Arabidopsis thaliana: one gene and its partners. The protein of the gene in region 2 interacts with the protein of the main gene of each other region in a pairwise test. Each region holds a gene or a part of one and is shown on either strand. Other genes may lie near its edges. The genes, in order: HB-3, ZR3, ADT5 and ER.

Region 1 (8,561 bases), on a different chromosome or scaffold from region 2:
TCCAAGTTTATACATAGTAATCCCAGTATATACTTTGAATGAAAAGGACCTCATATTATTACAGTATAGTTTATGATAAAAATTGTTTTTTCTTAATCATAAAATTCTTTAGAGTCTCACCTACGACTCTAGGCAAGGCTACAAGATACTGCAACATGAGATCTAGTTGTAGATTCATATATCTTATCCTTATCATTCGCAACATCTCGCTTATATTACAAGAGATCTAAATCATTATAGGTTTATCAATATTAACATCTTGGGCTATAGAAAAAGAAATATATATTGAGAGAGAGCAGAGAGTGAACATGGAGTGAGTGTCATATGAATATGATTCATCATGATGAGGAGAAAGAGTTAATATACTGTTGTGTCAGTTTTGGACGTAAGAGAAAGTTTGTCCCACTTGTTGGTGAATCCACAGTTCCTCTGGTCAACACTCTTCTGAACCTATTTTTTTGTTTGTCTCTTTCTCTTAGCTTTCTATTTTTTCTTTCTTGTCACTTCATAGATTTCTATTTACACTCTTTAATCTCATTTGTTTTCGTGATAACTTCTAAACTGCGATCGTAATTTTCTACTTTAATTGGGGAAAAGGCCAATAGTTCCTTTTTAAACACAACAATATCGATTTGGTTCCGTTATGATATTATTATGTTACTATACATAGCTTTTTACCCCCCAGTTGTTACAATACATAGATTTTGTTGGTTTTTAACTATTAAGTGCACACGGCAGCGTAGACAGTGACAACAAGTTGTCTATACGGACAATCAGATGTCCAAACTTAATGATAACTTATTCTTAACTTCACATATTTTTAAGACGTAATATGTTGCATTGTGCTAAACTATAAATGATGAGTTATTATATGATCAATAATAATAATGCGGTGATAAATTAACTATGTGAGAACATTGTTTAGGTTTCTAGTTTTAATTATAATTATATTTAGTAAGGAAATGGGTGCAAATTAAATGTTGTTTTGTAGATAAAAGAAAATAATATAAGCATGGGTAAAGATAACGTTAAAGCGACAAGATGAAGGAAACAGTCAAACAGTAGAAAGTAGGACTGTAGGACCATGTTTTTATTGAGAAACATTTGTGTGATTTGATATTACATTTTTATTATGCTCTTTTGACATCTGATTTGATCTAACAAAGCCCCTACCTAGCTAGACCTTCTTTGCATTCAACTACAATTATTTACCAGCGTTTTATTCTCTTTAATTCCCTTGAATACTCCATAAACATTGCAGCAAGAAAAAGAAAAAAAATATTACATTGCAACAAGGTAAAATATTAGTATCGAATCGAGAGTTAAAACTTCAAAGCAAAGGATCTTATCAACTGACTGTCAAAAACTCTGTTTCCTAACTTTGATACGTTACTTATTTATTTTATAAAAAAAATTTGTTTTCTTTTGATGAAAAAATATTCAGATTATATATTAACTCTGAATTCAGATTATACAAAAATTCATAACGTGGCTATGAATATCAACTATTGTTAATTAGCATAATTTCAATATAAATGAATTGTTTTGTTTTTGGCATTACAAATTACTTAATTGATTCCATGCATTGTGTAGTTCAAAGCAATATTTACTAATTAATTTTATCTAAAATAACTGAAACTATTTTTTTCGTACTATCATCATTCGACGCATTTTTATATTAAAAGAACTAAATCATCTTTGAAATCGAATTTTCATACATTTTTAATTTTAAAGGGTAATATATTTGATAGAGTACATATTTATTTATTGATTTTTTATATAAAAATGAGTGAACCGTCTATAATTTATAATTAATAATTATATTAGTGTAATAATGCATTTCTGAAGAGGGGATGGATTAGGTGTAGTATAATAATTATATTAATGTAACGTTTTAATCCCCGGGATTAAAGTGAAATATCACCTCACACGTGAACTGTAGTCAAAGTTCCCTACTTCCCGCATGTAAACCTTACATCACAGTCTAAACACTAAACATAACGCATGACCTAATTCACTTTCACACTGGGTGATGTGATGCTTCTACATTACTCATCCCCATATTAGCGCATTGTTTAACAATTCCACATATATAATCAATTTTTCAAGAAGAAGAAACAGAACAACATTATAGATTTCTTTAGATAATAATGAAACACACATCATATATTATTGGTCAACAATTTAACGAGAGAGTTTTGTGAATGTTGTCCGAAACTCATACATAAACACCGTCACAACAGGTAACTGAAACCAATACTTTATAAAATCTTAACATTTAAGCCTACGTACGAGAGATGGTGAAAGAAAGAGACAGGTCTTAATTTCTTCTTCAAACTCAAATCTCCCACACGACTAGATCTGCAAAAGCAGAAAAGAGACCTCGAAATTAAATCACATAAACAATTATATACACACACATGCAGGCACATCCTCCGAAATATGGTAGTATTAGAATTTATACTACAAAAGTCAAAATACACGAAGGCCAAAAAAAGAAAAAAAACCCCAATGAATGCTCTAAAGAAGCGCAAGGTGTGTGTGTGTAATTAAATTAGATTGAGTCAACATTGTTGACCTAAGCCAAACAACATGTCTCTCGCATGCATTTATCCATTTTAGATCCCAATGAAGAAATAAACTAGTACTAATATAGATGTATAAACTATAATTATATAGACATTAAATAAGTATTCATTTTACCATAGTTTATTTAACCGATAGAGTAGTATCTAGCTATAGTGGAACCTTAATTAGTATAACAAAGGAAAATAGAGAGGAAACAAAACCAGATAGTACGAGGCTCCGTGTTGAAGAGGGTGAAGAGCGACGCCATATTCATCGGTGACAATGGGCTGACCCGCGGAATTAATCAGAACAACCTCTTCCCCAAATGCATCCCTCACATTGAACGGTCCTGAGCTCACTTCAAGCTCCATTTCATTGATGAAAACTCTTATTCGTGCGTCCGCTGCATCCATATTTAGCCATTGTTATCCCATTATTTCATGTTAGTATAATGACTATAACAATCTATATAAAACAAAATTGTAAAGCTCACACAATCTATTTTCAAGAAAGAGAGAGAGGGTATATAGAAATAAAGAATCATCTAAAGGCTACTAAACATGAAGGTTTTAAAAAAAGATTTGTATGGATCAATGTGTCCCTTACATTGTTGACACAAAATTAATGTATCTCTACGATTGAGTAAAATTTCAACATGTATATAAGTAATCTATAACTTAAAAAGGGTGATAACTTTATATATTAACATTACCTTGAACTTGAAGCTGGTCCGAAGTTGATGGGACAGTAGCGAGAGAATGCGAAGTAGTAATAGTGGTGGCAGTAGAAGTAGTGGGAGGAATATGAAGCATGATGTTATTGTTGTTGTTGTTGTTGTTGTAAGAAGCTATTTGATGATTAGTGGTAGCGTAACAAATCTGAGTCTGTGGCTGTTGCAACATCTTCATCCTCATTTCTTCAACTTCTTTCTCACTCAAGTGTTGTTGATGATGAGTTCCATAACTCACACTACCGTTCATGATCTCACTCAGCAGGAGTCCGGTACACGTTGGAGCCGGTTTTTGTTGCTCAATCATATCACCGGAGAGAAACCCTAATTGGGATGAGACGGTGATACCTTCAAACCCTCCGACAGTGGAGACCGGGAAGAGAAACGCCGGTTCCGGTGGAAACATCCCCATCATTTGACTACCACCCAAAGAGAGATTAGTGTTGTTCTTGTTCTTGCTTTTTCGGGGTTTGGTGGATTTGGAGGAGGAAGAGGAGGAGGAAGAGGAAGAGGAAGCCGAAGGTTGCGGCTGCGGCTGCGGTTGCGTTTGAGGGAGAGAGTGTTTGGAGTGGTTGTGGAGGAGGCGGAGTTTGTGTTTACTACGGGACTTACGGTTTTGGAACCAGTAGAAGACGTTAGCATCACCGACTTGGCCGTATTCTTGAAGCTGAGCCCTAATCCTCCTGATCTCCTCTCTTGGAGGATTCACCATCCCGGAGTTAAAGATTGCTTCAAGTATCCGAATCTGCTCTGGCTTTGGATTCCATCTTGGTTTTGGCTCTGGACTCCTCTCCACTTCACATCCTAAAAAATTCACAATCTCATCAGATAAGAGTTCTTTAAAACAAAATTTAGTTTTGAATTGGTAAATATGTAGAAGTAGAAGGACCTGAAGAGAAAGGAGAAGATCGGTGAGAAGCAGAAGGCAAGAGAGGAGAGTTGATGTCATGTTGCCATTGATGGGGATGAGGTTTGGACTTGAACATGCTTGGCCAGTGTCTATTCGAAGAAGCCATAACTAATTAACTCGATCCGCAGAACACAGATGTATGTGTATGCATATGATGATGATTGATGTTGAATGATGATGTGATGATGATGTGATGTGTCAAAAAGAGAGGAGGAAGAGACAGGGAACAGAATGGCTAAATGGAAAGATAAATAAAAATGTGAATAGGGCAAAAGGGTTACGACCTCTTTCTCTCCCTCTTATAGCCTCTCTTCACCTACCCAACCTGTTTTCATATATTCATTCATCTCTTTTACATAAATTTAATTTAAAGTCTCACCCATATTTCTATACACCATTTCTCTTTCTCTCTATATCTATGTATCTATCTATGATGTATAGATGTGTATCTATATCATTATGTGTATATGTTTAGTAAAGACAAAAAAAACTATCACTACTTCTCTTGTTTAGGGAATCAAATGAATTAGAGAAGTAGGCTAAATCCTATTAACAGAAATGTTATAAAAGAAAATAGGAACACTGTTTTCATTACGTTTTATTATTAACTACTTCAGTCAAACAGTATGATTTAGTTGCATACTTGCATTAAATAGTTTTGAACAAAAAAAATTGCATTAAAAAGTAAATTTATTAATTCTATAGAAGGTCTTTGATCGCTTATATATAGATTATGAGGAGCACTTTGACATTTTAGATTTGAATCCAGTTTTGCTTGTCATGGTTCAATTATGATAAAATAAAAACTGTTTTAGGGGTTAGTTCCCTTTAGTGTCATCTAGTGGGAAAATGTGTATATCACCAATGGAAATTCAAAAGGCATTATTACAGTATTAAAAAAAGAGTGACAAGGTTAGTATTTAAGTACGTCAAAATGTGCTAGTCGACGAGTAGCCTATATTGCTATAACGTTAAATCACTGATGGATTGACCAATACTTCAATAACAAATAGAAGAAGACAATTTTGGAAATCTTAAATTTCTTCAACAGTCATTTGATTAGTTGTGTATCATGAGCGTTTCTTTTAGCCTCGCAAACAAATAGAAGACCGCATGCATTCACACTGTCTAATAAACCACTTTGAGAGTCCGAAGGAGCTTCACTGAATTAGCCCCAAACCATATCAATCTCACTCACAAATGACCAAATTGATAGCATACCCTGTGGCGAATGCTTAATACCATTAAATAATTTTATCATTTGTGTTTTTCATATATGTACAAAAAAATCCAAAATCCATATGAAAATAACTGATAGAGAGACTAGTTATATGTGCCCAAAAAAAAAAAAAAAGAGAGAGACTAGTTATATAGATTTATAGAGTGGGTACTGAATTATTTAAAAATATTCAATATTTATTATAAGAAATTATTTTAGCAATTTTAAAAAGTTGCCATACAAAGTCATCTGTAATTTTACAAGGGTATTTGAAGCGCACTCCAAAAATTTCTGTTTACTTTAGGTTTATACTAATAGACTCTGAATTCATATTACTAAATTAAAAAATTTAATTAGTAGAGCAATACAGATTTTCTGTTACTACATCCATATTAGAGTTTGCATGGTATTTCATTCGTTTGTTTTGTTATTCACATTCCTAATATCAATTTCTGAGATAGAAAACAGTAAGAGACAGGAAGAAACTCAAAGTGATCATTAATGCAACCCCATGCCTCACTTCCTTACACTTCTTGCATTAAACTCCAAACTGCTTCTGCAGTTCAAACGTACGAACACAAATTTCTTCAGAAATTGAAACAACAGATTCTTTGAAAGTGATCCATGTTTGGTTCTGAACTAGGATTTTTTCTCCTTTTTATTATTTTCTCCTCTGACATCTCAAAAAAAAACATTAATTAAAACAAGACAGAAAGATTGTAAATTTTCTCACATTTTATGTTTATTTATTAACTATAACAAGATGGGTTTTTATTATTTGCTTGTATTACAAAAAAATAAAATCATGTAGTTTCTGGATTTTCAGTCTGTGCAGAAGAGGATTCTCTCGGTCACCTTCGGGGCATCGGCCTTAAATTCGGATGGGGAGCAAATGGTTTGTTTGGACGTAGGAATAGTCATAATCAAATTAGCAAACACGATTTTAGGAGTTTTGTGATGTAATAGTACGGAAAAAAGAAACATGTATTAATGGGGAAAATACGAAATTTTAAGAGGTCAGGATGGGTGGTGGTGTATAGTAATTGCAAAGAAATTAAGGTCATTTTTTTTTGGATTGACTCGAGGGTCTTTGTTGATGATCGTTCCCTTTAATAACGTATTAATAATTCTTCAGTTTCTTTTGAAATATTAAGATTCTTTTCATCTGCATTTATTTCAAATATAAACTAAATGGAGCCTTTTTTATCAGACAAAAAAAAAAAACTAAATGTGAGCTTTATTTAAAAGACTAACTATTGAATGGGACTATGGGACAATGCTAAACAGTCTTAGTTTATAAATCATAACTTTGTGATAGGATGCAAATAAATCAAAACAAAATGTGGCATCTCCATTTAACACAAGCGGTTATCAGTGTTAACTAGATCTGTAAGTAACATTGCAAAGTCTCGTTCCAAGGACTGGTCCAAGATTATTAAGGATTCCAAAGCAAAACAATTTATGGCCTTATTTTTAAGCAAAAAAATAAAGATATTTTAGTTATGTGGATATAGTAGTATTTTATTTGTTCTTAAAATTAAAATATAAAATATATGTTTAGGCTGTTTTGGTGCTCGGGCCTTTGCAGCTTAACTTCGGCTGAATCAGAAAATGGCGATCAATGCAACCATTTAAATATCTATATTTCCATCTATTCTTATGAAACAATAAACAATTCGTTTTGATTGAAAAAAAAAACAACAACAAACAATTCGATGTACTATAAGTTTTTCAAGTTAATTTACTAATTAAGAAGATTTTTCCATGACAATCTACATACCAAAAAAAAGTTACTAATTAACATATCCTGCGTTTAATTTTTGGTTATAAGAAACGTCGAAGTGATTAACATACAGCCTGAATTTTTCCTATATGTTTTTGGGAGTATCTAGGTTTATCTTGTTATAATAAAATAGTTTCAAAATCTATCATTTCATAAGCTATTGGATTGGAATTGTACTTTAACCATCTTTTCATAAATAACAGAGGCTCAGTCTCTGAATTCTTCATATGCTGTGGTACATTTATACGTTTGCTTAGGTATACAATATATTTTCTTTCAATTTTATCAGAAAAATAGTATTGGCGTCATGGAGGAACCCTAGATTTCAGTGGGATGTTCAAACGGCAATCAATTTTGACATGTGTTTTACATATTGGGACCACTACAAGCGAATGAAAACCTTAAAAGCTCAACAAAGTACATCCAACTATTTTATTTTGGAAAATAATTGTATTTTCTTTGTAGCCAGGAAATTTCACAAAATAACTAACGCATGATGAATCATGAATGAAAACATAAGTTCATAGTTAGAGTTGGAATGCAACAGTTTAAAAATGAGCATGGGGCACAATGTGAAGTTAGCACTTATAGCACAAAGTGCGGAGAAGTTGCCACTTTCACTTCCCACAATTATCTTTTGCTTTGTTTTTTTTAAGCAATTATGGCTCTTCATGATTTCCTTAATATTTTGATAACAAATATTCAGATATGTTCTGTTAATTGGGTTCAGATACACAAATCCTACTAATATATATCTCTCCCTCACACCACGCATATATGTTTGAGTGAGATTATAATCAGATTAGAGCTTTGTATATATGAAACCATTAAAATAAATTACACACTAACTAGAATAGACCTCGACTATAAAATATAATATTTTACAGTGTGAAATGTATTCATATGAATCTCATAAAAATACATTTTTTCAAATTAATCATATGATTCACTGACACTTCTAAATGGTAGGATATATACACGTATGTACGAAATATGGATGTTTAAACGGATAGTAACTCGGAAAAAAACTTGTGAGATCTCTCTTCTAATGTTCAGATATTAATTTTTTTAGCGTCAACTATGTATCTTTGCCTCATAGATATGTTGTGGATGTTAGGACCAATTATTTGGAGGTGGGGGAGTGATGGATGAGTGATCCATACCGAATAGTACTGAAGCGATAAATGGTTGTATTTTTTAAATAAGATGGAGTTTTAAAAGTTTTCTATTTTTGTTTTCATCTTCCTTCTGGATTCAATCTTTTGCTTCTCATGCTACAATCAATTTGTCCCTAACCAAAAATGTCAATAAACTGTACGATCACTTCAATTCAAGTCTTCAATGCACTAAT
Region 2 (7,506 bases):
TGCTGTGAAGGAAGGAGGATGGTTGGGACTTATCATTCTCTTTGCATTTGGTATTCTTTGTTTTTACACCGGTTTGCTTCTGCGGTACTGCCTCGACAGCCACCCCGATGTCCAGACCTATCCTGATATTGGCCATGCCGCTTTTGGTTCCACCGGCCGCATCCTGGTCTCCGTAAGTAAAGAAAATCTACTCATCTATACATTGTTAATTTGAGGGTTATTATATATCACTTGTGACAATATTTTACAATTATCTTTCTTTTGATTGCAGGTAATACTCTATATGGAGTTATATGTAAGAACAACTTGCAATTCCTCCAATAATTTTCGTTATATTATATAGATAAAGACAAAATACATTTTTGAAAGTTTCAAAATAAGTACCTAAAATGAATCTCAAGTCAAAACAATGGACCACATGTGGAGTAGACAACACCTTTGCCCACGGTCCATATTGTTTCCCTCTCTCTTGTTTCATAAATGAAATATTTGGTTTTTAGTATAAGAAAATGTTGAAATTCATCAACTACACATTGAAATATTTGTCTAGAGAGAAATTCTGAATGTTCCTATGATATGGTAAAGTTACACAAAGTTTGATACAAGTTATGGTAAAGTTACACAAAGTTTGACACAAGTTCATTTTGCATGCAGGCTATGAGTGTTGAATACATAATATTGGAAGGTGATAATCTTTCATCAATGTTTCCAAATGCTAGTCTAAGTATTGGAGGGTTTCACTTAGATGCGCCTCGTCTATTTGCTCTGCTTACCACCCTCGCTGTTCTCCCAACCGTTTGGCTTCGAGATCTCAGCGTACTAAGTTACATTTCAGGTATAAAACATTCAATCTAAAAGGACCTTTTAAAGATTCTTTTTTCATATATGTGAATATCTTAACCTTGATCTTGCAGCTGGAGGGGTGATTGCATCAGTGTTGGTGGTTTTGTGCTTGTTTTGGGTTGGTTTGGTTGATGATGTTGGTATTCACAGCAAAGGAACTCCACTAAACCTCGCAACATTACCGGTTTCTGTAGGACTCTATGGTTATTGTTACTCAGGACATGGTGTTTTCCCTAATATTTACACTTCAATGGCCAAACCATCTCAATTTTCTGCTGTTCTCTTGGCATCGTAAGCTTAAATATAAAGACATTACACATCTTAGGAACTCTCTACATTTCTATCTTTTACTGACAGTATCAATTTTTATTTTTTTTTCACAGTTTTGGAATTTGTACTCTTATGTATGCGGGTGTTGCTGTTATGGGATATAGCATGTTTGGAGAATCAACAGAATCACAGTTTACTCTTAACTTGCCTCAAGATTTGGTTGCATCTAAGATTGCTTTGTGGACTACAGTAAGTTTTTTTTTTTCACCCTTCCTCTGCTTATTACATGAAAGTTGGGATGATTTTCACTAAATTTGGTAGCTAGCCAGGTGAGGTCATCTAAGAGTTTTTTTCCTTGCCTTTTTTGCAGGTTGTTAATCCATTTACCAAATATCCTTTATCAAGAAATATTCAGAGACTTTTCATTTATCTCTGTAATTTTGTCATAAGCTTATTCATAATATAAACTGAAAATTGTGTGGCCTTAATAGAAAGAAAGCACATATGCTTTGACATTATCTCCAGTTGCAATGAGTCTTGAGGAGTTAATACCATCAAACTATGGGAAGTCACGTTTCTACGCAATCGCCATTAGAAGTGCATTAGCCATCTCTACTCTGCTCGTTGGTCTTGCGATTCCCTTCTTCGGTAAGGACAAACGAAAAATATACATGTAAAGAAAATAAGTGTCACTTCTTTTGACACTCAGAATTCTTGCAGGCCTTGTCATGTCACTGATTGGATCATTCTTGACAATGCTCATTGTAAGTTACACATTTGTTTCATCCTTTTCTGGTTATGTAAAGCAAATTCTCATATTGCAGTTTCATAGTGAATTTGCTTAGCCTGACAAAGTTTCTGGACACAGACGCTGATACTACCGCCAGCTTGTTTCTTGAGCATCTTAAGGAAAAAAGTAACCCCTACTCAGGTATGGCCTGCTCACTTACTGATAACCAAACCGAATATCGAAATTCCTCAAACTGAAATCGATATAACAATCTGTGGTTTGTTTGCAGGTGACAATCTGTATCTTAATTATGACAGTAGGAGCAGTATGTTCAGTCATTGGCACATATTCAGCCCTTGCAAAGATCATTGAGAAGTTGAACACCTAAAACTGATCAATCTTGAGATTCTTATTTTGTTTCTCTTGAGATTTTGTTTCTGTCTTAAATCAATGGAACATCTCAACCTATATGGAACATTCCAAACACATAATTGTATTAAACATCTTCTGCATTTAAATGTTACCAAACAGTGAACTACAAGAAACAATTATAATACTGGAACATAAGGTGAAGTTCTGTTCCATAATGGTTAAGTAGCAAAAGCAAAGAAGATCACTCCTTATTCAGTAGAAATCTTTCCTCCAGCTAAATCTTCAGGAGTTAGGTTAAGAGAATCCATGGATCCTTTCTTGAATTCTTCCCCTTGAGAAGCAAGGAAGTCCTCCACGCTTCCTGGTTCTCCAAACCAACCACGACGGTCTGCAATCAAATGTAGATTATCACACCCTCCACATCGTACCACCACAACGCCGTTTTCATATGATTCTCGGCTCGCCATCTTCATAGATCTTGTATCACAGACCTTGCAAGTGAAGACCATCATGAAGTCATGCCTCGGGTTTATTTTTAACTGGGACTTGTACTTCACCATCATTTCCTCAGAGGGCGTCGCAGGGGAGGGAACTTTGGCCGATTCAGTAGCAGAGTTTGACGAGTTGCAGACATTGGTTACAGAAGCTTCATTTGCCTCACGGATTACAGATAACTGTCTCTGAAATAATCTTCCATAAACATGACTTCTGCTGAAGAGTGAGTTTGATAGCGACAACTGCTCTGTTGAGACTATTTTCAAAAAAAAAAAGATAATCAAGAAAGATCAATTTAACAGTAGTTGTAGTTGCACGAAGCTAAAACAGTCTGTACCATAACAGGACATCATAGGAACCTCCTAGGATAATGTTTGCATCAAACCGTAGACTAATGCTAACACATCTTAGTCAGGAAATATATAACCAAACTTGAAAACTTAACCAGCGTCTAGCTGAAATGCCAATGTTCACAGCTACTGCTTAATGCATAGAGATATGTTGAAGACAAAGCACTTATGTGAGCATTCATAACTTCAGGTTTCGTAGAAGCACTTCTCTAACTCCAAAATGTAACAGAGCAAAGACGATATTAGATGATATACACATGAGAATACGAGTACTCATCATCACTAATGCCCCAAATCTCTAAAAGCTACAAAAACAACCCTAAAACCAAAATCTCCCCAAAATCCTCTTCTAGTGTAAATTCAAACATAAAAACCACAAATTTACATGAATCTCAACCAAATTCATCAAAAGAAACATCAAGGCAAGTATAAATTACACAGATTAAGAGACCAGTTTAACTCTAGTGCCCGATTTTCAATAACTCTTTAATTTTTCTTAAAGATGACAAAGTTGAGAAGGAGAGAGATGAAACCTTGAGACAAAGGAAAACGATGTTGTTGGTTGCTGAAAAGAGACAAAGCGCGTCTCAAAGCAAGTAACCTAGCGGCCATTGACAACCTGAGGGAGAGGAGGAACTCGACGCTTCTATTTTCCGTGAAATTTTGGAATCGGAGCACAATAAAAGAAGCCTTTTTAATCATTAGAGTTAGTTTTCGTTATGGTCAAGTCAAAATCTAAACCCAGGTTCGAACCACTGAGTGAGCCACAAGTAGACCGACCTTTTTCTTCTTTTTTTTACGTGAGGAAAAAGAAATTTGTGAATTGAAATCTTATCTAGAAAAGAAAAAAGAAAAAAAAAATCAGAACAAGCAGGAGAATAATGTGTGTGATACAGGATATTGAGTAAGGCCACGTGGACGGCTGTGATTAGAAGATCAATGGACGGCTGTGATTCAAATTAAGTGTGCGTAGAGCTGAAGCTAATAAATATCAAGTGTCATCGTATTTTCATGTTATCGTTGAAGTTGTTGTTATTCCTTTCTCTCTGAAAACATTCCGAGATTCATCCTCTGCATAGAACGTCGATTCTTGCGAGGTGAATCCAGAAATCCCTTGTTTTATGAACATTGGATTTCATTTGTTATTTACATCGTAATAATAAGTAATCGGAGTTGTTGATGATTGCTTTGGTTGATTGATTGTGTTGTGGTGTGGTTTTACTGTATTAAAGGTATCAGAGCAAAGACGTTTCTCGGAGATGGTGATCGAGACTCGAGCTCAGGAGTTAGCTCAAGCTCGTCGAGAGAAGGCGTTAGAAGCAGAGGAATCGATGGAGTCACAGATGGAGAAGATCGAGAGCAAGATCGATGCTCAAAATCTGAAGATCGAGCGCCATATCTCGGAGATGTTTGAGGCGATCCACATGCTGTCTCCATCTAAGCAGTCAAATCTGGGTGAGACTCATCAAACAGCTCGTGCTTCATCCGCTTCAGCAACAGACGTGGATTACATGAGAAGGCAAGGTCACGCTAACAATCATTCGGGAGTAACAAGGTTAGGGAAGTTGGATTTTCCCAGATTCAGTGGTGAGAAGGTTAAGGAATGGTTGTTTAAGGTTGATCAATTTTTTGCGGTGGATCCTATACCTGAAGAGATGCGAGTGTCTGTAGTTTCTATTCATTTGGATGGTCTGGCTGCTACTTGGCACCAGAATATGATTGAGGATGAAGTGCAGGTTCCTGAGTGGGGTGTGTACAAAGCTAGGATCAGGGAGAGGTTTGAGATGGTTGGAGAGGATCCTATTGCTGAGCTGAAGAAGTTGCAGGAAACAGCTGCTAGCATTGATGACTATCACGCAAAGTTTGAGGCGATCCGGACTCGAGTAAGGATGACGGAGGATTATTTAGTGAGTGCGTATTTGGTTGGGTTAAGGATTGAGACACAGATGCATATCCGAATGTTTCAACCCCAAACGGTGCGGCAGTGTTTGATGTTGGGACGTCTCTATGAAACTGCTCATCCTGTGCAGAACAATGCGACTTCTTGGAAGAACAATAAGGCTACTTCAAAGGGCCAGTTCTCCTTTAAGAAAGACATGGAGCAGCAGGGCAATAAACCAGCGTTTCAGGAAAAACCAAGAGACACACAACAAAATCAGCCAAGGCGGTTCTTATCTACTGAAGAGATGAGTGCTAGGAGAGCTAAAGGATTGTGTTATTTTTGTGATGAACAATACACATCTGAACATTATAAGATTCACAAGAAAACACAATTGTTTGTTTTGGAAATGGAAGATGCTGAGGAAGTGTTCTTGGATGCAGAAGAAGAGCATAAGGAGTTAGTTGGGGAAGTAGCTCATATCTCAACTCATGCTATGGAGGGTATCTCAACTTACAACACTATGCGAGTTAAGGGTACAAGTCAGAAGAGATCCATTTTTATGTTGGTTGATTCGGGTTCCACTCACAATTTTATGGATCCTCAAATGGCAAAGAAGTTGGGTTGCTCACTCCTACCTAGTGATAATGCAAGAGTACGGGTGGCTGATGGTTACAATCTGAAGGTGATAGCGAGAATACAGAATTTTAAGTGGGAGATTCATAACACGACTTTTGTAGCTGACTTTATGGTAATTCCTTTGAAAGGAATTGATGCAGTTTTGGGTGTACATTGGTTGAAACCTCTAGGTCCTATTACATGGGATTTCACATTGTTGACAATGCAGTTTAAATGGGATAAGAAACGGGTGATGATACATGGTATTCAGCCTTCGTCGGTGCGTGCTATCAAGGCTGACAAATTGAACAAACTGAGAGACTCCGAAGTTCAGCTGTCTATGTTGTGTGTTGCAGACGCTGATGAGGATGAGGGAGAGGTGTTGCAGTTGTCTTCTTTAACAACAGAGGTGTCACCACCAAGTACTACTTCTGCTATTTCTCAATTACTTGATGAGTATAAGGATGTGTTTGCTGAACCTAAAGGGCTGCCTCCTTCTCGGACACATCATGATCATCCAATTCCTTTGATTGAGGGCACTAATCCGGTGAACATGCGACCATATCGTTATGCTAATCATCAAAAAGATGAGATTGATAAGATTGTCAAAGATATGTTAGAGAGCGGTATCATCCAGCCTAGTTCAAGTTCATTTGCCTCCCCTGTGGTTTTAGTGAAGAAGAAAGACGGCTCTTGGAGATTGTGTGTGGACTACCGAAAGGTGAATGGAATTACAGTGAAGAATTGTTTCCCTATTCCTCTTATTGAAGATCTTATGGATGAGTTGGGTGGGGCAGTGATCTTCTCGAAGTTTGATCTAAGAGCGGGTTATCATCAAGTGAGAATGGTGGAGAAGGATATTCCCAAGACTGCTTTCAAGACTCATAGTGGTCATTTCGAGTATTTGGTGATGCCCTTTGGATTGACCAATGCACTAGCTACTTTTCAAGGGTTGATGAATTCAGTGTTTCAAAAGTTTCTAAGGAAGTTTGTCTTGGTGTTTTTTGATGATATCCTTATCTATAGCAAATCAAAGAAGGAGCATTTGCAGCACTTAAAACTGGTATTGGAAGTAATGAGGGAGCATAAATTATTTGCCAAACGGAGTAACTGTGCGTTTGCAACATCAAGAGTCGAGTACTTGGGTCATTTTATTGACAGAGACGGACTGTCTACCGATCCATCAAAAGTTTTAGCTGTGAAGGAATGGCCTGCACCTACTAATTTGAAGCAATTACGGGGTTTTCTGGGCTTGGCTAATTATTACCGCCGTTTTGTTAAGAATTTTGGAGCTATTGCCAGACCATTAACCTTGCTAACGAAGAAGGATGCATTTTTGTGGTCTCCCGATGCTACTGTGGCGTTTTAGAATCTGAAACATGCATTGTGTACAACCCCAGTATTAGCTTTGCCCCGTTTTGATCAACCCTTTGTAGTTGAAACAGATGTTTGTGGTCAGGGTATCAGTGCCTTTTTGATGCAGAATGGCCATCCACTGGCTTATATTAGCAGGCATTTACAAGGCAAACAACTTCACCTATCGATCTATGAGAAGGAGCTTTTGGCAGTGGTCTTTGCCATTCAGAAATGGAGGCACTATTTGTTACATGACCATTTTGTGATCATAACAGATCAAAGAAGTTTGAAGTATTTACTGGAGCAGCGTCTTAATACACCCATTCAGCAGCAGTGGCTTCCAAAACTTTTGGAATTTGACTATGAGATCCAATACAAGGAGGGTAAGGAGAATTTGGTGGCCGACGCGTTGTCACGGGTTGAAGGTTCTGAGATTTTGCATATGGCATTGTCAGTATTGGAGTGTGATCTGCTTCAGAGGCTCAAAGATGGGTATGCTTCTGATGCTGTGGTTCAGAAACAGATTGAAGCTCTTCAGAGAAGTGCAGATTCGATAAAGAAGATGAGTTGGTCACAAGGGTTGTTGCACCGTA
Region 3 (8,157 bases), on a different chromosome or scaffold from region 2:
GTTTCTTGAATTTTGGTTAGATCACCCCTTTCTGAATTTGTACGATCATTTATCAAACGCAATTAAACATATTCGTTTGGCATTTATTGTCGATTGCAACCAAAAGCTGATCTTGCATATTAGTTTTGTTCGTTTTGTACTTCTTGTTATATGTTGTCAGATTTTAAATGGGTTGACATGAAAATTTTGGTCACAGACTCGTACAATTTATCGACACATATAAACAACATTTAATTGTGGTTGATGGAAACGAACATGTCTATTATCATTTTTCGATAAAGTACCACTCAGTATAAAAATATTATCATTTGTGGTGAGGACAAAAAACTAAAACATAAAAACCACAATTTTCCTTGACCAACAAACAAAAACCCCCACAAATGGTAATACAATTTTACCTTTTTACGTATTACGAAACGAAGCTTACCATCAGAGACTCTTGTAGCCAAAAGAGAAGCAAACGAGATAATTGAAAATAACAAGGTTCACGTGCCGTATTAGTGGGACTTGGTTACTTTATTCACATTTTGCAAAGACGTAGAACCTTCAATACTAACGTGAACATGTAACACGTGCATCTTCTAAGTTAATATGAAGTCAATTTTGTCAACAAGAAATAAAGTCAATAGTACAAATATTTTTATAATCCATTTTCACTGGTTTGGTCTCGGTTTGATTTGTTTAGGTTTGGAAATATTCTTACCAATCTAAGTAATTAACTATGACTTTATTTTTCCTATCGTACTTTGGTACTCTTTGGGTTGGTCTGTGGTGAAAAAAAACTATCAACTATAGACTTAGAAAAAGAATTGTAGAAAAATGTTAATTCTTTTCAAGATAAAATGAGTTGTTTTGGTTTGAAACAAAAGCGAACCTAAACCTGGTGGTAAGAGAAAAGCACTACCGAAAATTTGAAATCGAACCCCTTAATTAGTTCTTCCATTTTAGAGATTTCCATATACGTTAATCATATGCTACAAATGGTTGAATTTCTTATAATTTTATTTTATAAAATTGAACGATATATCTTATCCATTAATCAAAGTTAAAATCCCACCAAATCTTTTTTGTTTTCTCAGATCATCGTGCGCACTGCGCATGCTAGCTATGTTAACGTTAGGAAAACAAATTGTACGTAAAGGTTTGAGAAACAATTGATCTGATAGGTGAATTTAGACAAACATGCCATTCTCTTTTCGATATGGCATGAAACTGGTAGAAAGAAATTTGCCATTTTTTAGTTATGTATTTTTTCGCATATTCCTACCATTTTGCTAATTAAAGGTGTAATTTAGAACGAGATATAGGTCATGATAAAAAAAAAAGGTAAAAATAAAGTCGCTAATCATATTTGACAACAAAGTTAAAAAAAGATTTTCAAACGTTAATCAAGAGTCAAGACAGATGAAAAGAAATGTAGAAAGGATCAATTCAGCATGCTTAGGTGCAATGTTAGATAGTCCCACTTGGGTTTCACCAACTTTGCCATATTAAACCTTTACAAGTTTATGAATTAAAAAAGGTTTCAACAACCCCATCGATAAATCTTTTACGGCCAACAATTGCTTGTTGATTGTTTACTTATGTTATAAAACGATATTATTTTCAATATATTATGAATATGTGTTTTCTTTTTTCAAAACGAAGAAAATAAACTAGAAATATTTATATTAGAAGCTGGGCTTCACTTTTGAGACCTGAGGTCACACCTATATATCTTTAACTTTAACGAGAAGAAACATATATATGACACACGAATTACATAATCGTGGCATATTGGAGCTGTTGTTACTTGTTAAGTTGTCAGTGATTCTTTTATTTCCTGCATTCTAATAATTTATTATACATAATATTTCGGTATAATTTAGTACATAAACTTATATTAGCGTCATAATTTTTTAGTATAAATTAGTATGTAAACTTTTTGTTAGCATCACTGCATCACATGAGAATCTCTTTTTCTCATTGATAAATGGCTTAATCAATGGGTTAAAAAGTAGGGTATGCAATCAATATACATTCTATTAGAGTTAGAGATATAGATTATATATATCTTAGGATAATCTACATCCACAAATATGTCTCACTAGATTTTTGTATGTCTTATGTGTTGTCATATGATAAAACACTAAATTAGATGTATTACCTACATATATGTCTCTCTAGTTCTTTGTGTGTATGTGGTTGTTCGAGTTGGGCCACTGTACTAGGTTTCCTTCAATGGTGCAGATCGATCAGGTTTGTTCGAGTGGGTTGCTGTACTAGGTTTCCTTCAATGGTGCAAATCAGGTTTATTCTGATTTCTGAGGCTAGTATAATCTAGCTTCTTAAGGAAAAACCCACTTTATGTTTTAAATTTTTTTGAGCCATACAATTATTTATTTATTGTTAGGCGACTAATTAATTATTGATTAATGTATGAAGATAAACAAAAAAGGTATATAAGAGCATATATTTTAAAGATATTAAGGATATAGATCGATCACTCTCATAATCTTAATTATGTATATAAAGATTTATTTTTAAAACACCCAAAATTGAAAATTGAAAGTCTGCATCCACATAAACTTAAAACTAAAGAAAGGTTGGTTTGAAAGATCAAATCAGGTGAACCAGGTCTCATTGTATAGGCTTATGGTTTAGATTATTGTTCGGAGTGAAAATAATATGGTATATATATATATGGTTTAATTATTGTTGGGTTTAAAATAAATAATTAACTAGTTTGACTACCATAAATAATATGTGATATATTTATCAATTTATATTAAGTATTTTATACAAGAGAATACATCTAAATTTTAAAATGAAAAAAAATAATATACGAATGTAAATATCCAAATTTAGGGAGCGATATGGATTGGACCATGTTCCATGGATACCTTTGCACATATAGTTCGTCTTCTAACTTTTAAAATTATATTATTTTATCATTTGAAAAGGTTATTATAGTTTTTTTGGGTTATTATATCAAAATGACAACTTATGCTAAATGTTTCTTCTTACTATTTTCATTCTAGGAATTTTTTACAATCATTATCCAGTACTAGACTCATATCCCATGCATGAATTTTATTCGGTAATTATTTACAATGTGTAGATAGAGAAACAATAATAATGGGGATCAACAATTTGACTATATGATAAAAATCGATCTTTGTCTTCATTCAAAAGAAAAACCTTAACCAATAAATAACCACCACATAGTTACTTGATACTAAATTACTAATCCACATATTCATACACATGGTCTCTTTTTTTAATATGGTTCTTTTAGTTACCTTGTTTAGTAATCTAGTTTTAAGGATAAAATTTAGAAAATCAAAATAGAAACTTGAAAACATAGCAAAATCTCGAAAGAACGTTAGCATTCGATTATGAGACCACATATGCAAAGCTGCCACGTATGGTCCATTTATCCATAAATCTGCTAATGACATTATCTTATTATGAAAAAAGATCTTTACTCACAATTAGCAGCAATAAATCTTTAAAAGGCCTCCACTGATTAACACGTACCGAGAAATTCACCATTTTTTTCCTAACAAAGCAAAGTGAACATATTCAAATAAAAACAACTTTATAATATAAACAACAAATATCGTTCAGGAAAATCAAATGAAATGTGGTAGGTGAAGGATTTGACGGAACTACCCTTCAAGACACGTCAAGACTTTCTTTCTTTTACAACATTCCACTATATAAACACTTCCTTCTCCACCATCATCTCTCAGCTTGCAAGTTCTCTCTGAACCATAGAACTCCAAGCTTGAACTGTACTCTACTCGTCGTTTATATCTTACTCTTTTGTTTCCTCTTACCAGAAAAAATAAATAAACAGCAATTTTTTCATTTTTCGACTCAAATCATGCAAACCATTTCGCCTGCGTTCTCGTGCGATCTCAAATCCGTAATTCAACCGAATCTAACGGCTAAGAAAGCGCGTTACTCTCACGTAAATGGAAAGCGCGTGTCTGTTCGTTGCAGTTACAGGTCTGAGTCGTTTAGCTTCCCTAACGGTGTTGGCTCAAGCCGAGCCGATTGGCAAAGCTCATGCGCCATCTTAGCCAGTAAAGTAGTTTCGGCTGAGAATTCAAGCTCCGTCGCCGTCGTTAACGGACACAGTAACGGCTCCGTTGATTTAAGCCTTGTTCCGTCAAAGTCGCAGCACAACGGAAAGCCTGGATTGATTCAGCCGTTAACGATAACAGATCTATCTCCCGCGCCGTCTCATGGATCTACTCTTCGTGTCGCGTATCAAGGAGTTCCGGGAGCGTACTCCGAAGCGGCCGCCGGAAAAGCTTACCCAAACTCCGAAGCTATTCCTTGTGATCAATTCGACGTTGCGTTTCAGGCGGTGGAGCTTTGGATCGCCGATCGTGCTGTTCTCCCAGTTGAGAACTCTCTCGGTGGTTCGATTCATAGAAATTACGATCTTCTCCTCCGTCACCGTCTCCACATCGTCGGAGAAGTTCAGATCCCGGTTCACCACTGTCTCTTAGCTCTTCCCGGAGTTCGTACGGATTGCATCACGCGAGTGATTTCGCATCCTCAAGCTCTGGCTCAGACGGAAGGATCGCTCAACAAACTCACTCCAAAAGCAGCGATTGAAGCGTTTCACGACACAGCCGCGGCGGCGGAATACATCGCTGCTAACAACCTCCACGACACGGCGGCGGTAGCGAGCGCAAGAGCAGCTGAGCTCTACGGACTTCAGATTCTCGCCGACGGGATCCAAGACGACGCAGGAAACGTCACGCGCTTCCTTATGTTGGCGCGTGATCCGATCATTCCCCGTACCGATCGTCCGTTTAAAACGAGTATCGTTTTCGCAGCTCAAGAACATAAAGGAACTAGCGTTTTATTCAAAGTGCTTTCCGCGTTTGCGTTTCGAAACATTAGTTTGACGAAAATCGAATCGCGGCCGCATCAGAATTGTCCCGTTAGAGTCGTAGGCGACGAAAACGTTGGAACATCGAAGCACTTTGAGTACACATTCTACGTCGACTTCGAAGCGTCGATGGCGGAGGCGCGTGCACAAAACGCGTTAGCGGAGGTGCAAGAGTACACGTCATTCCTCAGGGTGCTGGGAAGTTACCCAATGGATATGACGCCATGGTCCACGTTACCTAGCGAAGACGTATGACACAATTAAAAAATTTATCTGAATTTTAAATAACATTATGGTAAAATTATCATAAGTAAAATACATGGAAACTAAAGTAGAATTTGTAGAACTCGTTTTGCATGTGAAGTGGGAGGATAATATTATTTTATTTCTCTTAAACCAAATATTTTGTGTGTATGTATTTGCTACTATTGGAACAAGACCGGTTTGTAGTTTGGTTCTGATGATTACAATTGAAGATATTTCTTAAGCTAAGCACATTTTAATTCTCATATTTTTTTCGTAGTAAAAATTAGAGAACCTAATATATACCTTAATTTGTAACGGAATTTGTTATAGCAGAATCATTAACAATAATCTTTGAAGCTATGCTCTAAGACTCCCCACGTACGTTAACCAACAGAACAAGAAAGACTTTCAGATTCTAAACTATAAAGTTATTAAATTACAAGTTATATTACAAAAGTCGAAATTAATGTGTGAACACGAGTTCGGTTTGATGTTTCTTGCTTTGAAACAAAAGTATAATCATCCATCTGGTCGTGTATATACGTACTATGCCAACTTCCATGAATTTTCACTGATTAGTTTATTAAAGTTCTCAACTATCTTCAGGAAATTCAGTTCGAGTTGCTAAAGAATTGGGCATATAATTTCCACGAAACTTTGCATTTGATAGATAATTTAACATGACTTGACTATTTATACTAGATATGTGTAATTTCCCACCTATCTTTTAGGGTCTAAACATTTTTGCATGCCAAAAGAGTTAGGTGTGGTGGAAGCTACCATATGCTCTTAACATCCATCTTCTAGAATTATAATCTTCGATTGTAAGCCTGAACATTTTCATTTTTATGAGATATTTAAATTTTTAGCAAAACAAAAAATTGGCATATGAGTTTCTTTGTACATGTTTCTTAAGCTGTACTTTTAAAGTTGTAGACAATGTTACAATATTTCATGTACAGTTTCTTTATCTTCATGCCGTGGAGTTATGTTTTTACTTTTTAGGTTGTGCAACACTGAAAAATAAGGGTTCTAATATAAATGGATTCATATTTTAAAATCAATTTTTGTAGCATGTAGAGCGGTAAGAACTATTAATCAAGCTCAAAATTATGAAAATTTGTATTTGCTGCAATGTTGAAAATATGATCATCATATTAAAATATTATTATTAAGAGGTTCTTATTAATTCACATTTCCACAAGTAATGTTTATTGTTTTGGCACAATGGTGTCAGATCTTGCGTGGTGTCCTGGTGTCCTAATATCGTACATGTATAAACTATAAAAGTCTTCCACCGTACTAATTAATTAATGTTTAACTTGTTAATGAGAAGACAAAGTTGCCAACTAAAAGGTAACCAATAACTAATTTAAAAGAGAGTAGTCTTGGTCATAAGTCATAACTCATAAAAATGAAGATCACGAACTGATTTGAGCATTTAGTGGGTCCTTGATGGTTATCATCGAGATGAAGTGAATCTTGTCATGGCGGGTTATTATACTCATAAACACTAATGATATATTTGAAATAGTAGTTAAATTACATTTCATGAGGGACAAATATGATGACGGTATAATTATGTCAATTGACCGTAAAGAGTTTGGTGGCAGATAGAACTGGTCGGAAATCTAACATACCAAAGGATTATTACAACCTCGTCATGTTTTTGTTACAACCTTTTAATTAATGTTCTTAGTTTATACCCTAAGTTATTACAACCTCGTCATGTTTTTAGTGGTCGTATAGACTTTGTTCTTAGCATTTTAGGTTTCATATTAGTTTGATGTAAGCTTGCATTATCATTTCTCAACTACAACTCGAAATTAGATCTAGTTACATTGGGGAAACAAAATTCTACCTGTAAATTATTTAAACCTATTCTTGGATTTTGACGAAACCAGCATTAATGTTGTCGTCTCTTAAGATATTAGAAATAGGATTAAACACTTCCATCGTCATATTGTTTGAAAGCAACTTGATAATGATCACAGACAAAGATGATTAAAAACACTTACATTATCACATATACTAAATTGATGTTATTATAATTAATTATAGAAGGGTTGATTAATTAAGAGAAATGGCGAAATCAGGAGTGGGGTGGTAGGTGGGAGAAAGAGAGGTCGAGCACACTGTGGTAGTTGGTGAGTGTGTGGGGGAGCCTTGTACTTAGGTTTTGCCGACTTCTTTAGATTCCGGTTAAGCTTTTGGTTTTGGTTCCGGTTTAAGTTAGAGATCTTAAATTAGTGATTATACAAGAAATCTCATGTAGTAATATTATTCTATTTGTGGTCCAAGATATGGCATAAGATTTAACGAAAGAATTGAATGTTATAATGTGTTGCAAGTAGAAGCTTTTTACGCTTTTAATTAATGTTCTTAGTTTATACCCTAAAGTTATGAAGACAAATAGCAGCCTAGCCCTCGATGGCTCGATCAATTTTTATCTTATATTTCTCATTGTTCATTGTTATTCCGTTATATTTCTAGTATCGCGAAACTGGTTTCAGGTGACAAATTGAAAGTCAAGTGATCAATGAAGAAATATTTGGCTTCAATATGTATTTTCTACGATTTTATTTTCTTAAGATGTAGCTTATCTAACTACTGCAGAAAAATGTATACACGTAAATCATGTGATGAGCTTTGTTTTCAACGTGAAATATCTCGTTCCAAAAAATAAGAATTTTATTTTTCCATTATGTTGTAGTTGTTTTCAGACAGCATTTTCCACTCCACTTAAAGAGTTCTCGAACTTATTCAATGATTGGTCATGTGAGGCTGTGGCATATGGTGATTGACCAATTAATTTAAGCAGTCAGGTCAAGTAAAATAAGTAAATTAAGCACTCCTAAACACACTAATATTGAATCATTTGCGTTAGTTTTTGTCGTAAATTGTGTACATTTAAAATATGTTTAGATAAATTATTAATTGATATCATCCAAGTGGTAAATCTTTCAGATAGAAATGCTGAGTTCGACGATAATTGAGACGGATCTTTTCTTCAAACGAGA
Region 4 (7,879 bases), on a different chromosome or scaffold from region 2:
GCTATCGCTATGCAGGAACCTGAGAAAACAAATCTAGAAATAATCTTCATCTTTTGCTCTTTTATCATATTGTACACTGCGAACGTATTTAAGTTGAGAACCTCGCATGAACATACACAGTTCCATACTGAACGGTATAGCTAACCTTGCATTTTCTCTTTTGCAGCTTCTCCGTCGGCTCTATTCATGAAAGCAACAAAGCCACAATGCCTTTCTCGCCTTTTCTCCTCCTCTGTTCTTGGCCACATAATTTTAACACTAGCTATTGGCCCAAATCTTCCAAAAGTCCGCAGAAGAAAATTTTCATCAACCTAAAAAAAGACAATACCACAAAAGTTTTAGGCAAGGGAAGAAAATTATGATATATAGCTATGGAAAACAACGCAGGTATTTAAGTTGGATGAGAACAAACCTTAGATGAAAGATTCACAACATATAGATTTGTAGTTTGTGGGTCACCATCGTCCAATGACCCTAACCTTCCACTGGGATCAAAATAATCAGGTAGCTCATCAAAGCGGCTAGATGACTGAGAGAAGTACAGCCTTAATACCAGAAAGCAGTACGTATCTCTAAATAAACAACAGTACGTATTTGGTTAAAAGTAAAGACTATGACGACATACCGTGTTATCACTATTATGGTCACGGGAATTCTCGCGATCCTGGTTTCGCCTTTCTCTTATTTCTTGTTCACGCTTGAGCTCCTCCACAAAATGATCTATGTTTCGAGTCTTTCCCTTTTCCATCTCCTTTGATCTCTCTTCATCCCTCTAGAAAGAGGAAAAATTGTACTAATAATCAGTTAAACCATTACTTTAAATCAGGAACCAGAATAATATAAAATACTGATATGGTCTCTAACTACTGACCTTATTCTCTGGTCCTTTACCCTTAGATGCCAATGGTGGGGGGAGAAAGGAGGGAACATACCTGTAGAAATTACATGGAAGACAATCTTCTATATCACAAGAGCATGGACATTGGTTTTAACTTATCAAGCCATACGCATGGACAACATCTCAAAACCCACAGTTTATACTGATGAAGTAGGAAACCTCAGCTAACTGCTATGTGCAGATGACAGAAGTTTATTGTACTCCAAAACATCACAAACACAAGAGAAATGGAATTAACTCTAGCATTGTAACAAACACATCAAAGAGGCCTACACTAGAAATTAGATATGACAGAGATTGATTAATCAAAAGCAATCACAGTTATACCTACTCCCCTTCTTTGAAATGGAATCCCCATCTCTGGACTTTTCACCTGTGATCCGTGAATGCATAGAAGAAAACGTCCATACTTTTTTTAATTAACATGTTTCTCAATGTAATAGAAACATAATTCTACCAATCTACATGATCAAAACAATTCAATGAAACACAGAAAAACTAGCCTCCAGTTCTACTAGATGAAGCAATGTCGGGTTTCCAAGAGACTAACCTTGAGAATCAGGCTTGAGCTTATTATCATTGGGATTGATTGTCACCTCTAACAAAAGTCTTAGCTGCAGCATTATCCCCTTGAAACGATTCCACGGACTCTTGATACAGACGAGCTGTTTCATCCTCCGCTCTCTGCATTTACCATAAATTTATTCAAACCAATAGAGGCTATTGAGGATTTTGGTAGCTAAGAAAAGAAGAAACAAACCTTCTTCTTGGCTTCTTCTTCTTCTCTGTGTTTCTGGAACGGTGTTTTCTTCCAGGGTGATCGAGAAAGAACTCATCTTTCACCATCCAACTTTTCTCAGAATCGGAAATTTGTCAATCGATAATAGCACGGCACCAAAATGGTCTCTAGTCTCAACGCAGATTGAGAGATAAAGGTTAAAATGCTCCAGAAAATACCTTCTTCAGAGTTCAGTCTTAACCCAGTTTTTTTCTTGGTAAAGAGAATAATACACACTCTTTTTTTGTTCACTTAAAATTTACAAATCTTATATCATCAGATTACTTATTAACAAAAAGATTACTTTATACGAAGTATGATATAATTTCTAGTCGAGGACGATTCAAAATATCTCATCAATTTGAGAAGAAGAATTTGATATAGAAACTAGAAATGAGCTTAAAATTTGGATAGCAAAGATACTTTTAGTGGCTAACACATCCAAGAGAACCACAACTCTTTCTATGCATATTAATTAATGTTACATTGGCAAATATATATAATAACGAGTGATGATGCTTTAAATGGCCTCTCTCAACATATGTTTCTTCAGGTAAGACAATTTCATATGATGCTTCTTCTTCATCTGCCTCCATTGGCAATTCTCTTCAGATGGTGAAATGCCTTCTGCTTAATCCATTGCCTGTCATATGGCAGATATGCACTTATCGAGTGGTCATAGCTGCAAAATGACCAGAGGATTTTGTTAGAAAATCATAAGAACATTGACAAATCCCTTCACGATTCACACGCAATAACCATCTTTTTAGGAAAATCATGATACTAATAATGATTCTTTACTTGTTTAATTAGCACCAAGCTATCAATGAACTTAGTAGCAAACTAGCAATTAAATGATCATTGACAGTTTTGTTATACAACATGGGAATCCTACTAATCTCTATAAACATTACTAGCAAGAGATTTCTATAATATCTACTGTGAACTTGCAAGTGGAGAACTAGTTAAGAACAAGATATATGCAGTTTATCGAATATTAAGAGAGAATTTCTGAAGAAAGTTTCTTTGCAAAAGAACAACTGTGCATGTGCCTGTTGCAGCTTTGAGTTTAAACATTCCTAAATGTTTTTAACGACTACCAAAACATCCAGGAATTCAAAAGAATGGTATGAGTGGGAACAGAATACTATTATTTAGAGGGAAAGAGTAAGAATAAACACAATTCATGCTCTTTATAGATGATGCAATGTGGATCCTCCTTTTAGTTTATGTAAAAATGTGAAAGGGTGATGTGAATTTGACAGTACCTGGAAGGACCTAAAGCATTTAAGAGAAGAGAAAGGGGCAAGACTTACACCAAAGCGCTCAAGTCAGCAAGACCATCAATAAAATTGTAAAGGTCAGCAATGTCATAGCTAATATTTCTGAGAGAAGGGTTAATTTCCTTCAACTTCCTTTCATATAAGCCGCAAATACCTGTTTACGACCAGAAAAAAATCAGCGTTGCAAGCTAAAAACTTATTGCTTCTACAAAACCAAAAACAAAAAAACAGCTTCCTTAATTCACTTAAACACTCGGAAGAGAGGTAATGAACTTAAGAAACCTACATTTCTTCTACATTGCTAATTCCTCCACTTTATTGAGCAAACAAGTTAGTAATCAAAATACAAACCACTTTATTACCACTTTATTACCGAGCAGACTCATCACACACTATATATCAATCAGCTTATAGCACTGGTACTAAAATCTGAACTTCCTAATAAGTCACAGAAATAGCTACAGAATTATATAATATACATGTCGTAATTCAAAATCATCCATCTTGTTGCCACAAAGATAAACCTCAACATAATCATAACCAAAGTCAACAATGAGTAGACTAGTTAGAGAATGATGATTCGAAATTAATAATTACCATCCATAGCTTGGCCTATAGAGTCATAGTCCATGAAAGTCCTCGTAGCTCTGCTCGGAGAATTCTGCAACAAGATGATTGTGTGCCTACTACTGTTGTGATTAGCCTACACAACAAAGAAGAAAGTTGATAATAGTCAGCTTATAAGAACTGAGACAATCAAAACAAGTTTGAATTTCCTTCTCTATGTTCCGTAAACTAACGAGAAATCATCAGAAACTGAGATTCAAACTGCGTAAGGAACGATATTCGAAAACCTAACACGATCTAACCAAAAGGATTTGCTCAAATTTCTTCGCGATTGACTAAGGAATCACTAAAACTACACAAAAGGAACGTTAGGAGAAGAAATCGATTACCATCTTCGAGTGATATTGTGACTTCGCTAGCAGAGTTTGAGGTTTAGACGACGAAGACGAGAAGAAGAAGAAGAAGTTTCACTGTTTGAGAGAGAAAAACGAATACTGTATAACCCAACAAGAGGGCAAAATCGTAAAATAACATAGGGTCTCTGTCGCTTAACATGTGACATCAGATATAGTACGACAAAACGGCATGTATTTCCTTTAAAATATGAAAAAACTACAAGCTGTTTCCATCTGATTAGTAGATTTTGTTTCTTTGAAATTGTTCATGTTAGGCATTTACTGTTCGAAATGTTTCATGTTATACAAAATAGCTTTACAGAAGCAAAAGTTTAATGTCGTCATCATCATCATCTTCTGATTGTTTCTTTGGCAACACATCAGAAGGTACAAGATCATCCAAATGATCGGAATCTGGAACGAGGAAAACGAAACACACAGTGACGAGTCTCAAAATATTCCTTATCAGAATCACGAGCCAGAGATTTCCGAAATCGTGTCTCGTGACACCAAAAGCGTGAAGAACAAACCCTCCACCCCATTTAGAAGCAAGCTGTCCAAAACTATCAATGCACATGAGGAAAGCAAAGAAGGTGCCTTCGATTCCCAGAGGACAAAGCCTTGTACTGAGAACCACCATGGGGATCCACCTGATCTTACTTATCATCTTCGTGAAAGATTCTTCGGTTATCACAAACAAGGAATCTGGTATCCCGAGAGTTAAGTTCCAGCGTTTGATGAAGACTAGATCAAGCATTCCTGAGAAGACGTATAGAAGTTGTGCAAAGAAGAGTATGTTCCTAAAGGAATAGCCTTTGAGCTTCTTGTGATATATGAGAACTCCAAACATAGATGCCAATGCCCCGACTGCATAGATTATTCCCACAAACTCCTGCATTTAGACCAAAATAAGCAAGTTTGAATCTAGCTCATAATTACATTATTGGATAAAGAATTTTATTAGCTTGTTCAGAAACTCCATAGCTTTATATGTCAATGTGACACTACCACACAATCATAATTTCAACACCATTTCATAAGGCATGCAGATATTCACAAACCTAAAGACAAGATTTTTCCTAGCTAAAATAGGCTTTCAAGAGAAGTGACTCCATGGAGATTAATATAAACCAGCGAAACAGTCTGAAATATGATTCACATAATATCATGACATACTACCACAGTGTCAATCTTGAGCTTGCGATCCATGGGAACCTGTTTTTGCTAGCTTCCCATGTCGTTTAGTAACTATACTGGTTCCTATGAACTCAATCTATATAAGACCCAAACTGTTTAACCACTATCTTTATTCTTTAAATCAAGATCTTTAAAAAGAGCTTCTTCAGGATTGTACAACCAACCTGGGAAAAGGCGGGCCCAGCTGTAGGATCAGTGTACCAGTAGAAGTGGCCTTCATGAGTGCTGATGTTGAGAGCTAAGGATATGAACATGTAAAGAGATGGCTTCCACACTTCAGGGTACTTTACTGTTTTGCACATTCCCTTCACCGCTACTCCTAAGCCATCTGTGTCCTGAAGAAAATTCAAACGATTGCTCAAGAGTTCGATCAAGATTCCAAGTCATGAGATAAAGTCAAGAGGCATGAATTTTCAATAATCCGGCAGAAACAAATAAAGACAAGGAAAATTTCTGTTTGGATTATTCTGCTGCGACGCCAATTCTGGTCACTTGTGAGAGAGATCAAAGGAGTTGAGATTACAGGCTAAGGCCTCACCTTTTTGGTCTTTTGTGTAGGAACAGTAGAAGATCTTTTCTCGTAGATGAAAAACCCAAGTATGACGATAGTTGCAGGCGAAAATGCTAATACCCCTAATGCTCCCTATATCAGAAAAAACAAAACAGAAAAACGAGATTTCAAGTTTCTAATCTCGATATCTAAAGGGAACACGTCCTGAAAACGTGACTAAAAAGGTGTAAAGGCTCAACCTGAGGTCCAAGCTGGTGAACGAAGACTCCACTAGTTGCGTATCCAACCAAAGCGCCAGCAGATGAACAAACCATACAAAGGCTCTGTATATCAGGAGCCAAAGATCGGATATTGATGCTGTTTGTTGCTATACACGCATCAATCACCACATCTGCAATGGCCATAGCTGCAGAGACACCTAAGAGGCAGCTCAAAGCCAAAGCAGCGGGCAACTTACCAAGAACAACAATAGCAATCGCAGATACCAAACCAAGAACACCAGAAACTACAAAATACGGCTTTCTTTTGTAACCTTTGATAGGGAACACATCGGTGAAGAGACCCCAAATGGGTCTCATGACCCATGGAATGTAATATAACCCCATGTAAAGCTGCACAACCGATGGCTGCACTTGCTGGACATCTTTCCAGTAATAGTCTGTGACGACTTTGAATATCGAACCAGAGAACCCTTGGTTTACACCGTACACAAGGACCACACCTAGCACGAAGCTCAGGTTTAGCCTAGAACTCAGCATTTGTAACCATTGGAAGGGCTGAATTAGAACTGAGACGACAGCGTTTCTTCTTGCTTTTGTCTTGATCTCAGAATGATCTGAAATTGGTTTTAGGAGAGGTTTATCGTCTGAGAAGAATTTCTCAGTTTCTAGTGTTTCCATGGTGTTGACTGTTTAGGAGATGAACATTGGATCTGAAATCAAAATATCGAGAGCAAGAGCCTTTAATCGTTATTTTCAATGTAAAGGAAATGCCTTTTAGACTTTCAAAAAGGTTTAGACATTCACACACGAGGAAAAACAAAAGATATATTATAAAGTTTCCCACTTGACAATGACATTTACCTTGTTGACTTTGTAAGCAATGACGTCTTTCTTCAACTACCAGTCTGAAATTCTACAAAAACGAAACCAAATCGCTTTATTAGCCAAAATTCACAAACTCGATAGTATGATTGACAGATCTTGAAAGCAAAAAGAGAAAGTCAAATGTTTCATCTTCCCACCGAAACTCAAAAATCCTAATCAACATCAACAAACACCTAAACAATTACTTCAAAATCCAATTAAAAAATAGAGAAGGAAAGCGATATGCTGCTTCGTTGGAGGTCATTATCTTTGAGATTCCCACAAGCTAAAAAGACTACTATATATGACTAGAGAGTCATGGCTAGACACTAATCAGAAAAAAGAGAGAAAGAAAAGAAGAAGCAAAACAGAGAGAAAATGGCAGGATTGTTTGATAAACAAGCCGATCTATACCTTGACGCCAGACCTAATTACCCCTCTGAGTGGTTCTCGAAGCTCGCTGATCTCACCGATCACCACGGTTTAGCCTGGGATGCTGCCACCGGAAATGGCCAAGCAGCTCTCGCCGTCAGTATTTGATGCTCATAAATTTTTATAGAGCTTCAAACTTAGATTTAACAGATTTAGCTTCTTGCTCGTAAATGATCACAACAACATGCATCAGATCTTGGATTTGACAAATTTCGCCTCCATTTTGCAGGTTGCAGAGCATTACGAGAGTGTCGTAGCAACGGACGTGAGTGAATCGCAGCTGAAGCTAGCAACGCCACATCCGAAAATCAATTATCGCCATACGCCGACGTCAATGACCGACGACGAGCTAGTGGAATTAATCGGAGGAGAAAACTCAGTGGATCTAATCACGGTCGCCCAAGGCGTACACTGGTTCGATCTCCCTAGGTTCTACTCAGTGGCCACACGACTCCTCCGTAAACCAGGCGGAATCATCGCTGTCTGGGGATACAACGACGTCATAGTGAGTCCAGAGTTCGACGCCGTCCAGTATCGGCTCCACGCCACAACGCTGCCGTTTTGGAAGTATCCGTACATTCAGCACATCTTCGATTCGTACGAAGCATTGCCGTTTCCTTTCGAAAATGTTGGGATGGGATCAGAAGGGGAGCCATTAAAGCTGGAGATGCCTAAAACGACGTCGTTTGAAGGGATCATAAGGATGTTTAAATCATGGTCGGCCATCGTCACG

Evidence for each region.
Region 1: the proteins of ZR3 (region 2) and HB-3 interact in a two-hybrid assay, tested with the Arabidopsis thaliana proteins (one large-scale study listed by BioGRID).
Region 3: the proteins of ZR3 (region 2) and ADT5 interact in a two-hybrid assay, tested with the Arabidopsis thaliana proteins (one large-scale study listed by BioGRID).
Region 4: the proteins of ZR3 (region 2) and ER interact in a two-hybrid assay, tested with the Arabidopsis thaliana proteins (one large-scale study listed by BioGRID).

The regions. Positions count from the first base shown.
Region 1 is NC_003071.7:14,339,284-14,347,844, forward strand, and holds HB-3 (homeobox-3), read right to left. Parts: upstream 4,496-8,561; 5' UTR 4,315-4,495; coding exon 4,188-4,314; intron 4,103-4,187; coding exon 3,281-4,102; intron 2,972-3,280; coding exon 2,754-2,971; 3' UTR 2,362-2,753; coding exon of another isoform or gene 2,356-2,361; 3' UTR 2,139-2,355; downstream 1-2,138. UniProt on the Arabidopsis thaliana protein: Homeodomain transcription factor required for meristem growth and early development. Promotes cell proliferation and prevents premature differentiation in meristematic tissues during postembryonic development.
Region 2 is NC_003074.8:20,306,610-20,314,115, reverse strand, and holds ZR3 (Zim17-type zinc finger protein), read right to left. Parts: upstream 3,848-7,506; 5' UTR 3,763-3,847; coding exon 3,594-3,762; intron 2,967-3,593; coding exon 2,464-2,966; 3' UTR 2,262-2,463; downstream 1-2,261. Other genes in the region: AT3G54830 (Transmembrane amino acid transporter family protein), read left to right, coding at 1-172, 272-295, 655-835, 915-1,134, 1,227-1,362, 1,484-1,547, 1,639-1,761, 1,834-1,877 and 2 more.
Region 3 is NC_003076.8:7,520,777-7,528,933, forward strand, and holds ADT5 (arogenate dehydratase 5), read left to right. Parts: upstream 1-3,309; 5' UTR 3,310-3,868; coding exon 3,869-5,146; 3' UTR 5,147-5,494; downstream 5,495-8,157. UniProt on the Arabidopsis thaliana protein: Converts the prephenate produced from the shikimate-chorismate pathway into phenylalanine.
Region 4 is NC_003076.8:3,416,639-3,424,517, forward strand, and holds ER (enhancer of rudimentary protein), read right to left. Parts: upstream 4,055-7,879; 5' UTR 3,919-4,054; coding exon 3,916-3,918; intron 3,663-3,915; coding exon 3,557-3,662; intron 3,114-3,556; coding exon 2,993-3,113; intron 2,359-2,992; coding exon 2,259-2,358; 3' UTR 1,972-2,258; downstream 1-1,971. Other genes in the region: AT5G10800 (RNA recognition motif (RRM)-containing protein), read right to left, coding at 146-311, 413-529, 626-772, 872-932, 1,226-1,271, 1,449-1,582, 1,659-1,744; AT5G10820 (Major facilitator superfamily protein), read right to left, coding at 4,238-4,813, 5,283-5,453, 5,657-5,761, 5,869-6,528; AT5G10830 (S-adenosyl-L-methionine-dependent methyltransferases superfamily protein), read left to right, coding at 7,093-7,242, 7,376-7,879. UniProt on the Arabidopsis thaliana protein: May have a role in the cell cycle.